Linked DNA regions of Astyanax mexicanus. The protein of the gene in region 2 purifies or fractionates together with the protein of the main gene of each other region. This does not show direct contact. Links are inferred from orthologs where the notes say so. Each region holds a gene or a part of one and is shown on either strand. Other genes may lie near its edges.

Region 1 (10,772 bases), about 16 Mb from region 2:
GGCACACTTAAAATCGTTTAATCTTCCCAAAAATGGTCAGTGCGCCTTATAATCCAGTGCATCTTACGTAAGAATTTTACCAGTCGGGTTGTAAAGAGCAGTAAAGCCACTCTGCTAAAGTGCAGCTTTATACAGGAGTTTTAGTTTAGTTCTCCAGCACTGAGACTTGGAGGTTGAGTATTATCAGCCTGTAGTCCGCTGCTTACCCCAGCTAGCACTGCTGGAGCAGCATTAGCATTACCACTAGCAGTAGCCGCTAATGCTCCAGCTTTAGTGGAAATCAAAAAAAAAATCTAAGCTTACTGTTAATAAACGGAAGTGCTTAACTCACCCAAATAAACAGTTTTCAGGAGAGAAATCTGTGTAGATGAACATCCAGCACTCGTTTGACTTATCTGACTCGTCTAAAATGTTTTTTTTTTTTCATTATTATTAGGAATTACAGTTTTGTTTACTTAACTTAGCTTTACATGTCTCGCCTACCCAGCAGCAATACCTGCTGAATTTAGAAGGAAAACATTGCAACATCCCTGTTTTTTACTAGAGTCGCATAAAATGCATCCTATAATCCGGTGCGCCTTGTGTATAAAAATAGACGTTTACGGATAGTGCGCCTTATATAGTAATCATTTATTTTATATATAATGAATAGCCATAGTATCAGCCTTATTCACCTGTCATGGTGTATATGTAGTATTACAAGTAAACATATTAAATACATTATTAATATATATTCAAAATAAACAGTAACAATTGGTAGCCTGACATTTCTGATGAGCCAAACTATCAAAGATATAGGTGATTTTGCCAGTTGTACCAACCTAGCTTCGAATTTTCCAATCCTAGTAGAGGTGGTTGTGACCTCCATGGCTTCCTGACCTCCTCCCATGACCACCTGTGTGTCGACACAATACAGAGTGTGAGAGAACGTGTCTCTACTAACAATGAAGAGAATACAATTCTGAAAATTGTCCTTCACAACATGTCCTCACTCTCCCAACAAAATATAACCCCCCCAAAAAACCCTTAACAATATTTAAAAGCAAACAAATTATACCCTTAAACATTTTATTTTTACTCTAAAGTGTAAGTTTTGTAAACACTGCCAAAAACAAGCCCTATCTTAAGCATTCAATAATTATCAGATTAAAATCATTCATTACATTCTTACAGATTACACACAATGTTGAAAAAATAAATACATATATATTTTCTTTTTAGCTTATTGGGATGAAAGCACCCCACTATTTGAGACACTATTAATGAAAATCACTACACAGCATTACAGATGAAATCTCTTACATGTTCCATGTTGGGCGAGATGGCAGCAGAATTGACTGGACGCTCAGTCTTAAAGGATTTGATGTGGTCTAATGATGTTGTATCAAACATCTGCAGACAAAGAGAAAAAATGTCTTGTAAGAATACCTACATTTTCAGGTATATGTTTAAACATGATACATTCTGTCAAAAACTTATACAAACCTTAGCAGCACAGTCTTTGGAGGCTGTGATAAACATTGTGAGATCCACAGAAGTCTGAATGTCGTTGATCTGCTTAGTGTGCTCCTTTATCTTCTTCACAATCTCCCCAGACTACACATAAAAAGATACATTAACTGAATGCTTTTATTTTAAATGTAACAAATATATTTGAAAACCAGACTGAATTATTTATCTAATTAAAACATGCTGTTGTATTACTGCCTTATAAGCATCATAGAATATTTTAGTTTTATTAAGGACGCAGACATACTGTCTTAATACATGTTTTCTCAAAGAGTGGGCATGTGAACAGTATATAGTAATTTCTTAGATCAGATAAAGGCAATATAATTTTCAAAAACTGACAAATCCCGAGAGCTGCATTTTGTCTCAGAGCCAGGTATTCCCAAATAAAATATGTTACAGCATAGAATCCCCAGCAAGTTTCTAGAAACTGCAGTCCCTTAGTAAATTTACAAAGCAACAGTATACATGCACATCCCATTACAAAAAATAAACCAACCTTGGCGCTGAACTGGTTGATTTCTCCATTTTCATGACCAGCAACCACAAACTCTCCCAGAGGGCCCCACACAGCACTTGTGATCTTTGATTCACTGCATGGTATTGAGAGATAAGGCTGGTTGTCCTCTAGAATTGGACAAAAGATCAAATACAGGCATGTCATCATTAAGCATTTTAGTAAGTCTGGTTTCCATACAGCTGCATTTTTTAGACTCACAACAGAAATTAGAAATGATATATCAACCGAAACTGAAAAAAAGCATATTTACCAATCTGTTGGGGGTCCCGCAGATCAAAGTAGTTAAGATAGCACTGGTAGCCCATCTGTTTGTCTGTGGAAAACATGATGATGTTTCCGCTGAAGTCAAATCCACACGTCCTCACTGCTGAGTTGGTCTCGAGCATTGCCAATTGTTTACCTGAACGCACATGCAAAAATAATTAAATTTCCCTGGAAAATATATAACCCAATTTTACAGACAAAACAGTTATAGTTATTAATTATAGTTATAATTAATAAATAAAAAATCATGGTGATTGTTGCACCTGTGCCATGGCAGGACTTAACTAACCTGTCTCGCAGTCCCAGAGTCTGCAGCTGTTGTCAGCTGAACCAGTCAACACATTTTTTGTGTCCCCTTTTAACATGGGTTAAGGTAAAACAACTCAGGTAAAGAAACAGATGCATGTAATGTCAATATATATGTAAGATTAACAAATAACGTACAATGACTGATGCATGAACAGCAGCACATACAAAAATACAGACTGAACTGTGGCATGGGAAGAAAAAATATGCATTCCAAATTAACTAATAGTATGTCCTTTAAAAGAATGTTCTTGTACGATTACACAATTATATTATCATGATATCATCTCGATACCTCAAAATTACATTTATTATATGAATTTGTCCGGGTCGACCTGAGGGAGATGGGCTCATGTGACTGAGTCTTATAGTTTTTCCTTGCTACTGTTGTCAACACAATAATTGGCATCACTGTGGTGCTTGCTCATGAGAGGCTTGGGTCTGTTTTGTCTGTAAATCTGTTTTGTGACAATATTTGTTGTAAAAAAACGCTTTTCAAATTAATACATTTTAATTGAATTGCATTTCTGGGGAAAATACATTTTGTAACAAGCCTAACTACATGTTATTTAAATAAGGTACATTGATTTAACCCATTTACAAAGCTAAGAAAATAACTAAAGCTTGGAACATCAGAAGCATCAGCACAAAAGGATACAGTCAACATCCACACACCAGACCGCCCCGGAGTGGCCGTTGTAGGTGCCCAGCCTCTCTCCATTCACAGAATACCACACATTCGCAAACTGAAGGAAAAAGATAATTATTTTTTTTAGTGAGCAACATTTTAGCATTTAGGAAACAAAGAAACCAAGTTGAGCAAAATAATTTAACATACCTGATCTTTAGCCACAGAAAACAGTAAATCTCCTTCTCTGTTGTATTTAATCTGAGTAAGAGACCTCTCGTGGCCCTGTAGAAGAATTGGTTTCTGGAGAAAAGAAAAGAATCATCAGTTATTAGAACAGCACCAGAGAAACCAGCCCGGTTACATTTAATTACATTACCAACATTTCCTACAATATATAGAATATATATGCATTGTATTGACAGTTTGTTTTGCAATTTGCAGTTTAGTTTAGGACCTGACCACTAGACAGCAGTGCTTTACCCTGTTGTTGTTATAATTGTGTGAAAATCCCTTTTTTAACTTTCAAACGAGTTTAATAAATAAGTTTTTTTTTCTGAAATTTGATTAAAACAATCAATACATATTGATTCGCTTACAGTATCACAATGCAATATTGCTATATATTGCCCTGTAACACATCACCAGGTGAAACACCAGTGTATCTTATGATTTGAACTATCAAATTCATTATTTTGATATTACAGTATCATTACATCATTATCATTATCAGTATCATTAAAAGTCAAGATAGCTATGAACATAGGCCTAAGAAAACATATCATCAAAAACTACTGGCTATATAACCAGCTAGCTAGGTTAAGTTTTAATTTAGCTAAATAGTTAATAAACAGTAAGACAAATATATAGGTTATATGCGATAACAAGAGCCAGTCAGAAGAATACATGCGTAACCTAGCTAACTAATATTTAGACAACAAACTTCCTAGTGATTTTTTTGCTGATATACAGCTCAGGAAAAAAATAATAATTTAAACAAAATGAAAATGGTTTTATTCTAGAAACTACAGACAGCCTTTCTGACAAATTCCAAATAAAAATATTGTCATTTAGAATATTTATTTTAATTGATGAAATAAAAAGATGCAGAGCTTTCAGACCTCAAATAATGCAAAGACAACAAGTTCATATTTATAATGTTTTAAGAGTTCAGAAATCCCTGTTTTTTTAATAACAGTTTTTATGCATCTTGGCATGTTCTCCTCCACCAGCCTTACACACTGCTTTCGGATCTTAATGCCACTCCTGGTACACAAATTCAAGCAGTTTAGCTGGGTTTAATGGCTTTTGACTACCCTTATTCTAGAGGTTTTCAATTTGGTGAAATCAAAGAAACTCGTCCAGTGTTTTTCTTTTTTCAGAGCTGTATGTTAGACATTTAAACGCTGACAAATATGGTTCGGTGGCAGATAGGTAACGTTAGCAGGCAATGCTCTAATGTTTTAACTGTTAGCATCGCGAAATAAAGCAACATCTGAGGAACAGCTAACGCTAGCATAGCTGGAGCTGGTTAACGTTACCCTCATATAATAAGAGCCGCCGCGCTAAACTAAGCTAACTAGCTTAGCCAGTTCACATATTATTAGAATTAGAGAGAACTGCTGGCACTGACACTGACTGTGTTTTCATATACTGTCTACTGGATACCCCATAAACTACCAATCCACACAGCGAAACAGGTAAAACAGTCAACGTTAAAGTATAAGTGACTAATTCGGTTTAATGAACGGAGAATATGTAACTAAGCTAACTAGCTAACATAGCGACTGAGCTAGCCCGCTAATTTGCTAGCTAGCTAACTACATACGCACACCCGGTTCTGGTTAATAACAGACCAATATAGCTCGTAAATACCGAGTAATACCCAGGTATTACTCGGTATTTGAATGTGTTTCTCACCATGGCTGCGGATCTTCTGTTTCCTCCCTTTTTTTAAAAGATCGGAAGAAACTTCTCCACACACCAGCCGCGTGTATCACCGGCACCGCGCAAGGACCGAACCGACCGACAGAGGGCGCGACTACCGCCTGCGCCCCGTCAACCACTTCAAAATAAAGGTTCACAGTCTTTTTTTTTTTTCTTCTTCTTTTTTTATCGTACTGTTATTTTCGTCTCTAATTCGTTTTTTATATTTATGGTATTTTAGGCACTTAGGCAAAAAAATTACGGACAAGAATAAATAATAATAAAACATAAAAAAACGTATATGTGAATTTATTAGATCAGACGAACTTTAATATTTAAACTATAACGTTACCAGATTTTTGTGCTCTCTTTTAAATTGTCTGGCCTTTATTCTTTATTATTAAAATATATTTGGGCAATTCCACAGAATGAGTGCCACCGAATTGCTTGTTGTAAATCCAAATTAAACTTATTTTTAATCTTTTTTTTTGAACTGATGTAACTTCCTGTTGTAATTAGATGTGGCTTTTGTGTGTGTATATATTATTATGTAGATACAATGTCTAATATTTACATATTTTGGTGAGTTTTACTATAGTAAATTAGTGATTTCAGTGTTAAAGTTGAATGTAAACAGGGAGCTGAAGAATTGTATGGTCTACATGCTGTGCCGTGACTGTCTCAGCGGAGGTGTTTAGCAGGAGGGAGTTGTGTACAGAGCTGCTCATCTGCTTTTACATCTCCTTCTCTTACATCTGCCCATCTTTACTTCTACTGAGCAGTTCTCAGTTTTCAGTACACATTTTAAGTTATTTTCCAGAAAACACAGCCCAAGTCAGTTTAAAACTTAGCTAGTCCTATATACGCACCGACAACAGGCTTTCAGAATTCAAACACTGCATTAAATGTTTTTCCATGTGGGACCCAAACAAAAACCATCAGATAGCCAATAATACACCCACTTAAGCCCATGTAAAACACAGATAGCTTAATGGTTAGCCCAAACAGTGCCCAAATATACCACATGCAGCTGACAACTAGGGAACCAAATGGGAAGTCCATGTGGTACCAAGTCACAGCCCATACATTTGTTTATGCCCAATATACCCTGGTAAAACCCCTGTGGGCCCACCTGTATATGTTGATTCTCCGGAGCAGTTAACTATGAACCAATTGGCCACAACCATCGACTCTCTCTCTCTCTCCCGGACAAAGGTTGCTAGAAACCTGGGTGTTATAGTGGATGACCAGCTCTCCTTTAGGCACCATGTGGCCACAGTTGCTCGATCGTGCAACTTCTCGCTGTATAACATCAGAACAATTTGATGGGCTACCCAACTCCTGGTACAAGCAGTGTTCATCTCACGCCTCGACTATTGCAATGCCCTACTAACTGGCCTCCCGGCCTGTGTAATAAAACCACTCCAGATGATCCAGACATGCAGCAACAGACATCCAGATCCAGACAGTCTGGTCTTCAACCAGCCAAAACGAGCACGTCACCCCACTGCTCATTGAGCTCCATTGGCTACCAGTTGCTGCTCTGATCAAATTCAAAGCTCTTACAATCACCTACAAGGTGATGACAGAACAGCTCCTTCCTACCTGCATTCACTCCTGAAGTCTTACGCCACCTCCCGGCCGCTGCACTCCTCCAGTGAACGTCACCTCGCTTTACCAAACACAATTCACACAAAGCAATCCAGACTGTTCTCATACAGAGTTCCCCAATGGTGGAACAAACTACCTTCCACTACCAGATCAGGAGAATCTCTCACTATCTTTAATAAAATCCTGAAGACAGAGCTCTTCAAAGAGCACTAACACCTAACTAACTACTTTTAACCTTATTTCCTTCTTCCCCTCCTTCACTCCTCTATCCCATTATCTCCCTTTGACCTCCTCTAAGCCATGTCTAAAAATGTGTTTTTACCTTTAACTTGTTACTTTATGTACTCCACTATTGTAAGTCGCGTTGGACAAAAGCGTCTGCCAAATGTAATGTAACATATCAAAGGTCAGGTGTTAGCATTGAGCTGAGGAGCAGTGAAACTGTTCTTTGGAATGATGTTGCTTCATTAGATACTTTTGGGATGAGTTGTGAGTTGAGTTGAGTTTGGGGGATGTGGAGTTAGCCTGCAGGATTAGTGAGTGAGGGGTCAGACAGTCATTATAAATACAACCAATAATAGTTGCATTGTCCAAAAGTAAGACACAGTCACAATATTTTACTATCACAAGTCAGTTTACTACAGTTAGTATAACTCAACTGCAAATTATTAGGGGTGCAATAACTTTTTTCATACCACTGTATTAGCTGGTTAATGTTGCTTGCTTATTATAAGCGCAGTCAATTTTGCATCTTGTCCACCTGCTAATCGAGCTTGATCTATACCCACTAACAATTTCCAATCATTTTTGGGCAGGTTTAAATGTCACTGTCAAGTATTGATCTATTGACAAAGTATGAAGCAGGCCTTTATATCATTAGGGTTTCCCTCTTTAATCTAAAATATACACACATTAAACTGATATAGAACAGCAGAGATAAATTAAATAGTTGCAGTTATACTAGGTAAGTTGCAGAATAAAGATATGGGGTAATAGTAAGTTGTTGATAGGTTCATGTTAATAGGATGCAGCCTAATAAACTAGATTTTAACATTTTGAACACAATGTAAGAACATATTAGCTAGCTAACAAACTAGTTTGAATGAATTTGACTTATTGCTTATGCCTTTCAACTGGGAAGATCAATATCCCTGAACTTTAACTGATGGTGTTATATGTTTTTGAGCAGTGTAGCATTAAGCAATAATACACTTGAGGTTCCTGCTATTACGTGTAATATTGGCACTGCTGGGCTGCAGTCGTAGATCAGCACAGCAGTGCCAATATTACGTTATAGCACGACCCTTGAGGGTATTATTGCGATTATACCACAGTTCCATTATTACTGTTTATTGAAAGAGTTTGAGTAAAAGAGGACAAGAAAACACAACCTGTTTGGTTATAAAAACTTGCAAGTTAAAATAGTTTCATTGCTGCTCTGTTTGTAGCTGCGCTGTTTGCCTGGTAATGCTGCATCGTTGCTAGGTTACCTGTATGTGGCGGAGTAATGCATTGAGAGCTTCTGTTACAGTGCATTACCGGCTGATAATGGCCCCCATAGAATGCCTCTGAGCCAATCCAACTGCAGGGTCAGAACTAACTGTAGTATAATACAACTTATAGTACAGAGGTTGGACAATAAAACTAAAACACCTAATTTTAGACCACAATAATTTGTCCCGACAGACAGTTCTTGTGGAAACAGAGTTGAGGTGCACATTGAATTCTGCCGTGATTTGGGCAGCCGTGGTTTTATGTTTTTTGGATACAATCCGGGTTAGCACCCGAACATCCCTTTCAGACAGCTTCCTCTTGCTTCCACAGTTAATCCTGTTGGATGTGGTTCGTCCTTCTTGGTGGTGTGCTGACATTGCCCTGGATACCGTGGCTCTTGATACATCACGACTTGCTGTCTTGGTCACAGATGCGCCAGCAACAACAATTTGTCCTCTTTTGAACTCTGGTATTGCACCCATAATGTTGTATGCATTGCAATATTTTGAGCAAAACTGTGCTCTTACCCTGCTAATTGAACCTTCACACTCTGCTCTTACTGGTGCAATGTGCAATTAATGAAGATTGGCCACCAGGCCTGTCCTATTTGGCCATGAAACCTCCCACACTAAAAGGACAGGTGTTTCATTGTCCAACCCCCTGTATATATTATGTGCAGTACACAACTGGGGTGCAGCCACAGTTATAACAAGCTATTCAATGCCTAACCCCTGCAAAAAATTATTTGAGAGAATCAATCTACAAATCATTCACTGTATGCCTTTTGGAGATCAGTTCATTTTCTGCACATTTAACTATTTAACAGTAACAGATCTTTTAACCAGAGGAGTCCAAGCTTTTGGCTGCCATATATAAACAAAACATCAATATCAATAAATTCAGACATGGAGGCTGATTATTTTCTGTGTAGTTTAATTTGCAAATAATGTTTACAGGGTGTGCAAAAAAGAGGAAATCAAACAAAAACAAACTAACAAAGATCTTTGGTACCTTTCAACTGTGGATGGGTCCAGCATTACTGAACAACAAATGAGAGGAACCCATAAAAGCCAGCGTGCTGTTATTGTGCAAGTGATGGAATGTGGAGAAGAACAGTTGTTCTGGATCCATATTGACATCTGACTGTTATTCAACACAGGGAAGATGTCATGTGGATTCAGAGGGAATGATGTAAAGATAAATGAAACCCTAATGTTCATGTGTCCAAGTATAAAACAGATAGAAAAATGCAGTGCCTTAAAGTAAAAATGTATTAGAACCAGAAATGACAACAGCAGTTACTGTGAAGCCATGATGAGATTATAATAATGTACATTCAAATCCTAGCATATCAGATCTTTGTTTAGGAGCTAAATAAAGATCACATGAACGGCACTAAAATTGCATAGAGTTTAACATTTTAGAATCTCTTTATTGAACCTGATCACACAGAAAATTGGATATGGGATGCAGTTAAATATCTCTATAATGTAAGTATTTTTTGTAAGTTTAATGCAAGTTGATTTTAATCTGTATTCAATCATGTTAAGAGACATACTGTACATTAGCAACAACAAAATTTCAAACTAGTGGTTTACTATGAGAGAAAACACTGGATTAAAATGATAGACTGTGTATTGATGTGTAGTTTAATGCACTACACCCTTTTGTAGTGGTCAGAACCTCGTTCGAATGATGCATGCTTTCCTTTGGGTCTCTCAGAATGATTTTGGAGAATTGTCTGTAAAACTGGCCAAATGACCTGCTGATGAAACTGACCCATTCAAAAAGAATTCTGAGTGTAGTGTTACAGTGTTAAAACACAAACACGTTCTGCAAAAGCAGTGAAAAGGGTTTTGGAATGAGCTGCAAACACTTAGCAGAATTAAACATTTTACAACTGTATTTAAGGTAGATGAAAAAATAGGTCTACATAATTTCGAACTTTGAGCAAACTCTTTTTGAAATAACAGACAAATAAATCTTGTTTTTCTCAGTATCATCAAACTGAGGGCCTTGATACACTAATGTTCTGAGTTCGATAATGATGGAGAATGATAATGAAGTAGATAATGATGAAAACAAACAATTTACTCTAACAAGACAATCAGTAACTTGCTTTATTCTGCTACAAACATCAGAAAATGCTGATAAATATTCTTTCCCACCAACCTTTTCAGTGTCTGACCTAATTAGAGACTGCTGCCACTGCTTCAATTTTGTTATACACTATTCTGTAAGTAATTCTGTCTTTTTGCTTATTTGGTGCATTACTACATAATAGAACCACTTATGTTTCCATAAAGAAGCATTTTTATGACAGAGATGTCGGAGATGACAGTAAGTGAAGAAGAAAACCTTAAAGGTCTCTAAAAAACCTTCACATAACGAAAAAGTATTTTTTTTACAAAAAATGTTCTTTATAGAACCAGAAGTAATTCTTCCATGCCAATCACTTAAAGAACCTTCTGTAGCACCTTTATTTGTAAGCGTTTACTATCAAACTCTAGTGAT
Region 2 (11,372 bases):
ATTACTCACAAAATCTTTGAAGGGTTGTCTCTCAGGAGGTTCCCATTCATCACTGATTGACATGTACCTAGAAATGATAAATTAAACACGCATTTTAAATTAATATAGTGTTTCAGAAATAGGCAAAAAACATTTTAAAAATGCTTAATTGAGCAGAACATACTTGTCAAAGTCAGTGAACAGGTTGACACGGAAAGTATGCTGCTTATCCAATTTGTAGCCGTCAGCGTTCTTCACAGCTTCGTGTGCGTGACTTGGAACAGAATACTCAAGGAAAATGTACCTGAACAGCAGAGAGCAGACGCAAGAGATTCATCCATTATTAGACAAATTCAACTTAACCTACTTTCACAACACAGGCAGTCAAACCTGCACTCACCCCTTGGTCTTGCCGTCTGCTTCTGGGTAGAACTCGTTGGTGATTTTGCCAAATTTTGAGAAGATCTTGTGGATGACATTCTTGAGTTTCTCCAGACGGTCTTGTCCTACTTGAGGAACATTGTCAACGACAATGACCGAGTCGATACCATCAGCCTCCTGAGGTTTCTCCCTGAGGATGTCTCCCAGCAGCTCTGCAAAGGCCAAGAATAGTATAAAGTGAAAATTCAACAGAAACATACACTCTTGAAAGGTGCGACAAATTGATTTTTTGATAGTCATTTAATTAATCCATATAGAAGCATTTTTTAAGAATTTATTTTTTAATTCTACATTTGGTGGGAAACAAACTCTCAAGTTCTTCTGAACACATGGTAAAAACATTACATAACAATTTCCAAAGACAAATTCACTGGGGCTGAATGATAATTGAAAAAAATAAACATATATTAATTATGCAACCTGTGTATCAACTAGGAGAGTAAAACAAATAGTAATGAGTGTGTGTGTGTGTGTGTGTGTGTGTATATAAAAAATGGTTGTTTTAGAAATGCCAAAGAGTTACTAGAGGTGGAAAAATAAGTTTTATTGTAGCTTTATATTTTAATATATATATTTTTTGTTGTATCCACAATACTTTAGACATATCAAGGACATCAGTAATTAAAGAATACCTAATTTTACATTTTATTAAAAAAAAGCATAATTAGACCTGTTTAATTGGACGAGATATTTTGAATGAATCACATGTATCGAAATATTTGTTGTGTGTTTTCCAGTTTTAAATTGTATTTTTAAAAAACGTTTTTGCTAATTTATATAGAGGGAATTCTAAGAATATCTAAGCTGTTAAGGTGTGTGTGTGTGTGTATGTATGTATACATACATACATCCCTCTATATAAATTAGCAAAAACGTTTTTAAAAAAATACAACTTAAAACTGGAAAACACACAACAAATATTTCGATACATGTGATTCATTCAAAATATCTCGTCCAATTAAACAGGTCTAATTATGCTTTTTTTTATAAAATGTAAAATTAGGTATTCTTTAATTACTGATGTCCTTGATATGTCTAAAGTATTGTGGATACAACAAAAAATATATATATTAAAATATAAAGCTACAATAAAACTTATTTTTCCACCTCTAGTAACTCTTTGGCATTTCTAAAACAACCATTTTTGCACCATTCTCTTTTGGAATACAGTTTTGTTTTTGTTACACCTGAAACAAAAGCCCTACTAAGAAGCCTTTCTCTAGATTATAATGGATGTTCTATTCAATAATACACTTGGCAGGGCTTCAGGAGCAGGACTTAAAAACCCTTACAAGAACTACTGTAGAAACTGCCAACTACAATTACAAGCAAACCGTTACATTCAGCTGCTCAATTAGATAACATTACCACTGATAACATGTCTTTGAGGCTGGTCTTATTTAAGATGTTTTAAGTGAGCAAGTGTAGCCCTTTAAGGAGCAGTGTAACACTGTTACATATATTTAGGTCTAAAACAAAGAAATAATTGCAATAAAAATACACTCTCCTTTTAAAACAATTTAATGACAGTGATATTATGATAATAAAATAGTATAATAATGCATTTACAATTAATTCTTGAACTTGAATTAAAAATATTTAAAAATCAGAATCCAAAATTATTTAAGAATGACACATCTAAAACACTGCTCATAAACAAGGCCAATGCAGACTAATTTCACAGTGGAAAATATTGAGGTCATGTCCATATAAAAAATTGTGACAGGCCTAGTTAAATTTAATAATTATTATATATCAAAATTTCATAAATATACATATCCTAGCAGCTTTGCAAACTAACAAATGACATGACAGATCACTTCCATTTAGAGGTTAGATATATCAGTTGTGTCAAATGTGATACAAAATATTATTGTATATTCAGTGTTTTGTCACATCGCCAAAAGTATCGTTATTGTGAAAATACCATGAAATATTGTAATATTATTTTAGAGCCATAATGCTCACCTGTAATTTAAAGACTTACAATCTAAATGTATTTAAAATATAAATCTAACACACATTATATAGCAAGGAAACACTTTTTGTATTTTTTAAATAAGAAATGTAGGATAAATGTATTGCAGACATGTGCAGGACATATAGCTATACATTTTTAAGTAAATAAATTTACAGGGAAAGTCACCAAATGTGAAATGTATTGTTGCCTGGAGACAGCACCATGCCATAATATAACTAAAACATATATAACTAGCTAACAATACATGTACTGCACAATCCTAGTAGCTAAATGTTAAAATAGTGGGTTTGACATTATTTAATTTAGTGAGAAACAATCAATTTGGTTATCGTGTATTTATTTATTAATAATTAAGGATACATGTTGTTCGTGAGGAAGGCATATAGATTGCTTAATTAGCACATAAAATAAAGTTATTTACTTAAGTTACATTGTGACCCAACTGTCAGGCACGCCTCATTCATTAGCTTAGCATAGCTTAGAATACTTTAGCTTAGCATAGACGGATAGTAGCTTTGTCCACGCTTGTTAGCCAGACAGCTAACGTTAAGCTAAGCTAGCTAGCATGTTGTACGGTGTTCTGTCGAGTTCTGCTACCTTGTCAATCTGTGCGTCTCTGGTGCATATTTAAAAGGTTAAAATACACAAAAAGTACAATATTAAAACCTAGAATATTTCCAGTAAAAGTCTATGTGCTTTTCTTGGACACAATAAAGCACAGTCTCAGGGAGAAGTTATGGAAATAAGAGGTTATTCGAATCTGCTTTTGCATTTTATTAATAATACATATTGTATACAATATTATATTACATTATAACGGTAATAACATATTACTAACATTATTAAATTGTCATTTACAGTTGTATGTAATGTATGTAAGGTTGATAAACGAACAAAAAACACAGAAAAAGAATTATTATAAAAAAAAGAGCATGAAAAAATGTATGTTGGCGCATGCGCAGTGCCTTTCGAAAGCAGGTACTGATGGGTAGCAGAAGTCGACAGAACACCGGTTCAGATGCTGCTATGGCGTATTAAATAGCTAACTTAACTTATTTATTCAGCTAAAAATTAAATAATAAATTGGGCTTTCGCAGACACTAACAGAATTGCTTATGTTAGCTAAATAACGTAGTTTATGTGAGCCTGTTTATCCAGGTAGCCGCTGTTAGCTTAGCTTAATTACGCTAGATTTTGTATTTGATAGCGTAACTAAGCTAAGCTATGGCCTAATCAACCGACTAACTAACCTAACGTTAGCTAAGCTAAGCTAACGGGCACTGAATGATCATGCCTGCTGCATCCAGCTGCTGCTCCCGAATCACTACTTCAACAGCAAACCACACAGCTTATGATCACAACCCAAATAATTATATAACGCTAATGAAATATATTATATATAAGCCTAGCTACCGAAATCCGCATGACCGCGGTATCAGCGAAATCCGCGGCCGAAGGCGGGCCTCGCCGGGCCGGCCGCTCTCCCAGCCACCTACCCGAATCACTGATATCATCCTCGAAGTCCTCCGGGTCGCTGAACGAAGGCTCCTCGCCTTCATCAAACTCCAGCTCTGCGTCCATATCCTCCGTATCTCTCATCGAGGCTTCGCTGTGGACAATACCGGGCGATTAGCGCGATTCGCGGGTGTTAAAAACCGTAATCCAGCGTTTTTCCTCGCAGGACCATGTGCGGTGCCGCCGGCGCGAACCCCCCTGCGCAGAGAAAAGGAACAGGCCATGTGAGCCCAGCCCGCTCAACACTGATATAGGGCGTAAATTATAACCCTTTAAATACATTTAGACAACTTCGTACATGTTTTAATTTATTTTATAAAATAAACACATTGCTGCGCATGAGCATACCTGCTTATTTTGAGTCAAACTGGTGTAAAACCTGTCCAAATGCTGTTCTAGTTATGTCTCCCCCCTTTTTTCGAGAACTTGGTTTCTCCCACTGAGCCGGTTCCAGCAGCTCGCTTCCCGTGCGCTGTACGTCTGTCTGTGCGTGAGCCACGCTGTGAGTGAACGCTGTGCGCGTGACGCAGCCGGCCGGGCACGTACTGCATGATCTGTATGTCATATGTACGCATACAACACGTTAGCACGTGTTTTGAAGATCAGTACTTTAAACAATTCAGTAAAACTAAGCAAAGGCTACATTCATTCTCCATTAGACTCCAGTCCTTATACTCAGAATCAGGTCACACACTGTATAATGTACATTTTATTGCATGGTCCCTATGAAGCCCCTAAAGTGAGAACATGTTAAAAATGAATGCATGGCCACAACTTATTAAGGCGTGGGATTGATATTCTAGTGCATGGGAATGAGATAATTAAGTAATTGCCACGACTTACTAAGATGTGGGCGTAAGATAATTAAAGCTATGTTCACATTACCAGGCTGAAGTTACTCATATATTTTTTCATGCCTGTGTGAATGTGCCAAATCCATTTTTTTTTTCGAATCAGATCTGAGCCAAAACCATATATGGTCCTACATCAGATACGTACCTGATCCATGTACATGCGACATGAATGTAAACGGTCGAATCAATCAGAATTCATAAGTCTTTTTGCTTTTATGCATGGGCTACATGCTATAGCTGCAAAGCTGAGCATAAACTTCAGACCAGCCGTTTGCTCTCCACTCCAGCAAAAGAAGCTCCACATATGCTGCTAACGCATTTATTTCCCTTTAGAAAGCTACAGGTCGTCTCTCAAATATGTGTTTTTTTGTTGTTGGTGAAAAAGGCGGCATGTGAGGCGTTTCAGGGACAGATTTGTTCACATTACACACATTATGTTTAAGTTATTATGAATATTTAAAAATTAGCAATGGTGTAAAGGATCTGGTGTGAATGTACTTGAGGTTTACCAATGGTCTCAGCGACAACTCATTTAGGAGGTCGCAAAATACCCCATAACCACATCCAAAGAACTGCAGGACTCATTTTCCTCAGTTAAGGTCAACATTCATGACTCTAAAATGGCCTGAATGCCAAGACAACAACCGCTGCTGAAAAGAAAAATTAAGGCTCATCTCAATTTTGCCAGAAAACATCTTGATGATCCCCTTTTTGGAAAAAATACTCTTTGGACTGATGAGACAAAAGTTTAACTTTTTGGAAGGTGTGTCCCTTGACATCTGGTTTCTTAAAATAACATTTAAGAAACATAAAAAAAAATCATACCAGCAGTAAAACATGGTGGTGGTAGTGTGATGGTCTGGTGAAGACTTTGGAGTGGCCTAGTCAAAGTCCTGACCTGAACAGTATTGAGATGTTGTGGCATGACCTTAAAAAGGTGGTTTATTCTGGAAAATCCTCCAATGTGGCATAATTACAGTAATTTTGTGTAGAAAAGTGGACCAAAAATTGTCCACAGAGACGTGAAAGACTCATTGCAAGGTACTGCAAGCGCTTAATTGCAATTGTTGCTGCTAAGAGCTGCCAATCCAGTTATTAGGTTTAGGGGGAAAACACTTTTTCATACAGGGCCATGTAGGTTTGGATTTGTTTCTCACTTAATAATAATAAAAAAAATTGTTTACTTGTATTGTGATTTACTTATATTTACAGTTGTTTACTGATCTGAAACATTTAAGAGTGACACACATGCAATAAAATAAGAAATCATGAAGAGGGCAAACACTTCTTTTACACTACTATATTATAAGTGGATTATTAAATTATTTTAAGCTGTTATTTTTATTGCTTTAAATGTGCAACAATCACAATCATCAAGAGTCTTCAGATCATCAAGAATACAGCCCCTGAACGGCTGTGATGGGAAAAGAGCAGCTGTTTTAAAGACAGGTGAAATATGAGCCCTCATTTTTGTGCAGGTCAGAATCCTCGCCGCAGCATTTCCCAACCACTGCAAGCTGGAAACGGAGATCTTTGGCAGGCCAGAAAAAGCACATTACAGTTATCCAGCCATGAGAGTCAATCCTGCAGACCTTGGATATATTACTGAGGTGGAAGAATGCTGTTTTGCAGACGTTGTGGGTATTAAAGCTGTCAAAAGTGACACCCAGGTTTTTGGCAGAGCTTTAAGCCTTTATAGACTCCAAGGCAAAGGGTTTCTATATAGATAAGAGCCCCATTTCTCACTGTATCCTATTATATTCTAATTTAGCTGCAAAAAATGCTGACACATCCAGGACTTAAAGGTCTCATTCTATCGTTTTTTCATTCATTTAAAAATGTCTAGTTGTAGTCTCTAGTATGAATGGATGCCATGTGAGCCAGTGTTTCTATTTATCCCTGCTTTAGATCACTGAATTAGAGGTCTCTGGAGAAAGACAGGTTTTGGCTCTTGGTCATGAATATTCATACATGCAAACATATCGCCTCTGATTGGCTAACAGCACTGCAGCAGAGAACGCCTACCTGCTGTCACCCCACAGTCAATTTCAAAGCTCTAAAACTCAATGGACAAAATGTTTTCAGAGATACAGCCTTAGTTGTAAAGATACAGAACTGAGTGCTAGGTCAAGTTCTCAACATCGCTCAGCATCAAATGGCCCCGCAACCGAAAAATGTTATCAATGCTGCGGGCTGAGTGTAGACTGTAATATAGTGTAATATAAATATATAGACTGTAATATAGATATGTAGACTGTAATATAGTGTAATATAGTGTAATATAGATATTTGTACCAAGAGGTATAACAAGTCTCCTTTAATATATTATATTATCTGGTAGTTACACCTTATTAAACCAACATGTCAAATTAGAGGGATTTGGAGAGGTCAGGATTACTGATTGATAAAGTAAGTGAATTCTGATATAACTGGACCAGAGCTCATGTGAGGTGTATTTTGAGTAGTTTTTTTTATTTCTCCACCAGAGGGCACCTTTGTGAAAGAAAAAGAAAAAGTGTTCTTCACTTTCTCACACTTATGAAAGAGGTGATTTCCAAACAGTTACACTGATAACATATGACATAGATTCCAAACAAGAACATTAGCAGGAAAAGAAATGGCCCATTCTCCATCACCGTACCCCCGACCCTCCTCATGGCCCAGGCCAAGAGCACACTACAACCTTATTACAATCGTCAGCTGAACAAGTCCAACAAATCTGGCAGATCCTGCACAGCAGCTGCTGCTCACATTGACGGTAGATTAGTAAATATCAGAGTTCACTATAAGTCCAGCAAGAGACAGCCTGGAGGAAATGTAAGGATAACAAGAGTCATGAGTTTGAGTTTGTGGAAGTGAGCCAAGCCTGGCCTGAAGAAAGGGTCGATTGTGCATCTTCCTCCTGCTGCAGGGTTAGAGGAGTTCTCCTTTAGGTGAGCATCACTGTATGCAGGCCTCTGTGTTCCGACCAGCCTGAACTCAAAACGCGGTCTGCATCCAAAACCACATACTGCTAATTAACAGTACATTAGTGTAGTCTAGTGTAGTCTAGTGTAATATAGTGTGGTGTAGTGTAATAAGGGGAGTTTAGTGTAATATAGTGTAATGTTGTGTAGTGTAGTGTAATATAGTGTAGTGTAATGCAGTGTAATAAGGGGAGTGGAGTGTAATATAATGTAATGTTGTGTAGTGTAGTGTAATATAAGGTAATGTAGTGTAATATAATGTAGTGTAGTGTAATGCTGTGTAATAAGGGGAGTGTAGTGTAATATAGTGTAATGTTGTGTAGTGTAGTGTAATATAGTGTAGTGTAATGAGGTGTAATAAGGGGAGTGGAGTGTAATATAGTGTAATGTTGTGTAGTGTAGTGTAATATAGTGTAGTGTAATATAGTGTAATGTAGTGTAGTGTAATGTAGTGTAATAAGGGGAGTGTATTGTAATATAGTGTAATGTTGTGTAGTGTAGTGTAATATAGTGTAATGTTGTGTAGTGTAGTGTAATATAGTGTAGTGTAATATAGTGTAATGATGTGTAGTGTAATACAGTGTAATGTAGTGTAATAAGGGGAGTGTATTGTAATATACTGTAATGTTGTGTAGTGTAGTGTAATATAGTGTAATGTTGTGTAGTGTAGTGTAATATAGTGTAATAAGGGGAGTGTAGTGTAATATAGTGTAATGTTGTGTAGTGTAGTGTAATATAGTGTAATGTTGTTTAGTGTAGTATAATATAGTGTAGTGTAATATAGTGTAATGTAATGTAGTGTGATAAAGTGTAGTGTAATATAGTATAGTGTAGTTTAATATAGTGTAATGTAATATAGTGTCTTGTTGTGTAGTGTAGTGTAGTGTAATACAGTGTAATGTAGTGTAGTGTAATGCAGTGTAATAAGGGGAGTGTAGTGTAGTGTAATATAGTGTAATGTTGTGTAGTGCAATGTAGTGTAGTGTAATATAGTGTATTGTTGCGTAGTGTAGTGTAGAATAGTGTAGTGTAATATAGCGTAGTCTTATGTAGTGTAGTGTTATATAGTGTAATGTAATATAGTGTCTTGTTGTGTAGTGTAGTGTAGAATAGTGTAGTGTAATATAGCGTAGTGTTATGTAGTGTAGTGTAATATAGTGTAATGTAATATAGTGTCTTGTTGTGTAGTGTAGTGTAGAATAGTGTAGTGTAATATAGCGTAGTGTTATGTAGTGTAGTCTAATATAGTGTAATGTAATATAGTGTCTTGTTGTGTAGTGTAGTGTAGAATAGTGTAGTGTAATATAGCGTAGTGTTATGTAGTGTAGTCTAATATAGTGTAATGTAATATAGTGTCTTGTGTAGTGTAGTGTAGAATAGTGTAGTGTAATATAGTGTATTGTAGTGTATAGTATTGTATAATATAGTATGGTGAAGTTGTATAATTCAGTGTAGTGTAGTAGGGTATGGTGTGGTGCAGTAGTAGTATAGTGGGATATAGTATAATTCAGTGTAGTGTAGAGTTAGAATTCTACTGTAATATAATATAATTCACTGTAGCGGGTTTGGAATGGTATATTATTGTGAAGTACAGTGTATTATGTGTATTGTATTACAGTGTATTGTATAGTATTTTGTAGTGTATTATGTGGTTTTATACATTCAGGATAAGATAAATGGAAAGGCAAGTATGTGCAGAAAAGAAAAAAGGTCTGTTTTTGTACACTTTTAAACAATTTTAAACAAGCAGTTTTTATATAATGCTGTATGTGGAACTCCACTGTGGACCTTTTCTATTTTTATTGCACAATTTGATCATACTGGCATTTAAAAGAGAAATCTGAGGATAAAAATTCAATCCAGGGAGCAAAAACACTTCAGCCCCTTAGTGACTATACATCAAAAGTAGCACAGTTCTGCAGAGAAACCACAGACCTGGCAACACTGAGGCAGGGGGAGCAAGAATACATCTTAGTGCTGTAGTTAAAATGGCACTGAAGCAACATAGGGCCCAGTTGGGGTGAAGCGTGGCGGGGGGGGGGGGGGGGGGTGTTTGGTGGGTTGTGTTTGGGGGTTGAAGAGGTGTTTCCTGCGCTGCGTAACTCTTGCACAGCCTCTGTTTATTTTCTTCTATTTGAACTCGTACTCAGAGCTGTTCACAGGAAATGCACGGACCCTGCTCTCATAGAGGGAGGGGCTACATCAGGACTAATCTGATTTAGGACTGAGTGTGTATTTGTGTTTATATATGTTTACATGTGTTTTACAGAAATATATATTAAATATTGTCTTATATTCTTCTTACTAAAGGCCAAACTTACAGACAATGAGGGGTAGTGTCTTCTTTACAAAGACTGTTAGGGTCCTCTACTTTTGCAAAATTATTTCATTATCTCATTTAATGTTTTATTTATTCATTTATATATTTTTTTCATACGTAAATTAACACTTACGTCATCTACACTATGAAGGAACATAGTCAACTTAAACGTGTTAAACAAACCAAAATACTCTAACTTAGGTGCTCTTATTTGGGTTGCTGTTAATGTGCAGTTTCTGAGGCCGGTAACTCTGACGATCTTCCTTTCCTGTGGTGGTCCTGATGAGAGCCAGTTTCATCATAACATTTTTAATGGTCTTTTTTATGACTGCACTTGAGGATACTTTCAAAGTTCCTGAATTTTTTCGGATTGACTGACCTTCATTTCTTAAAGTATTTTTTCTTTACTTAGTTACTTAGTAGTTCTTACCATAATCTGGATTAGAAATAGAGCTATCCACTGTATACCTGTAACTCTACCTCTTCACTACTTTACAACTGATGCTCTCAAACACATTCAGAGACAAGAAATTTAAGTAATTAACTCTTGATGAGTTCAGCACAGCTGTTAACTGGAAGCCTGAATTCCAGGAGACTCTACCTCATAAAGCTGACTGAGAAAATCCAGCCAAAATGTGTAAAGCTGTCTAATCTATGCGAAAGGTTCTTATTTTGAAGAATCTAAAATATAAATCATATTCTGGAAATAATTTCATACTTTTGTCACAGCTGGGGCCGAAGGTACTCTTTTTTCTCCCACATTCAGCTCTACCTGCGGACTACGATACCCAGAATGCACCTCTCACTGGCATCACTCACTAACGCAATTACATGACACTGCACAAGGCACCACCAGGAAGTCAATCACCAGAATATTAATGTCAACTGTTCCACCCACTATATATACACCCTAACCTCACTCACTCTTTACTTCACTAGAGAGTTTTCTGACCCTGATTTCTGCCTGCCCTCTGATGTATCCTTGCCTGGGTATGACCTTTGGACTGATTATTGTTTATGGCATGTTTACTCCTCTTACTGCTGTTTGTCGGCTCGCTTTGACTACTCTCTGTATTGATACTTTTTTTAATATAATGCAGAAAATTTTAAAATAATTGTAAAAAACACTGAGTGTCTAAACCTTTAACTGGTACTGTAGGCAAATGATAGCACATGATTTAAAACACAAACATGTTGCAACCTGGCCGAATAGTCACAATAAAGAAATGCCGCTCAACAATAACACAGTTTATTGTATTTATACAGTTCTTATATACAAAACATCAGAAATACAGTTCATCTGAAAATTTCACAAT

What was found. The genes of interacting proteins can lie anywhere in the genome.
Region 1: the proteins of eif3ba (region 2) and eif3i purify together in Homo sapiens (affinity purification with mass spectrometry; 12 studies listed by BioGRID and IntAct, counting the BioPlex papers as one, with this or other methods). This does not show direct contact. The link is inferred for Astyanax mexicanus from reciprocal best matches to the Homo sapiens genes EIF3B and EIF3I.

Annotation. Positions count from the first base shown.
Region 1 is NC_064410.1:39,626,927-39,637,698, forward strand, and holds the start of eif3i (eukaryotic translation initiation factor 3 subunit I), read right to left. Parts: upstream 5,286-10,772; 5' UTR 5,151-5,285; coding exon 5,148-5,150; intron 3,531-5,147; coding exon 3,438-3,530; intron 3,346-3,437; coding exon 3,258-3,345; intron 2,649-3,257; coding exon 2,583-2,648; intron 2,430-2,582; coding exon 2,280-2,429; intron 2,137-2,279; coding exon 2,009-2,136; intron 1,597-2,008; coding exon 1,486-1,596; intron 1,393-1,485; coding exon 1,303-1,392; intron 896-1,302; coding exon 822-895; intron 1-821. UniProt on the Homo sapiens protein: Component of the eukaryotic translation initiation factor 3 (eIF-3) complex, which is required for several steps in the initiation of protein synthesis.
Region 2 is NC_064410.1:55,932,820-55,944,191, reverse strand, and holds the start of eif3ba (eukaryotic translation initiation factor 3, subunit Ba), read right to left. Parts: upstream 4,289-11,372; 5' UTR 4,265-4,288; intron 4,115-4,264; 5' UTR 4,001-4,114; coding exon 3,898-4,000; intron 573-3,897; coding exon 380-572; intron 284-379; coding exon 164-283; intron 68-163; coding exon 10-67; intron 1-9.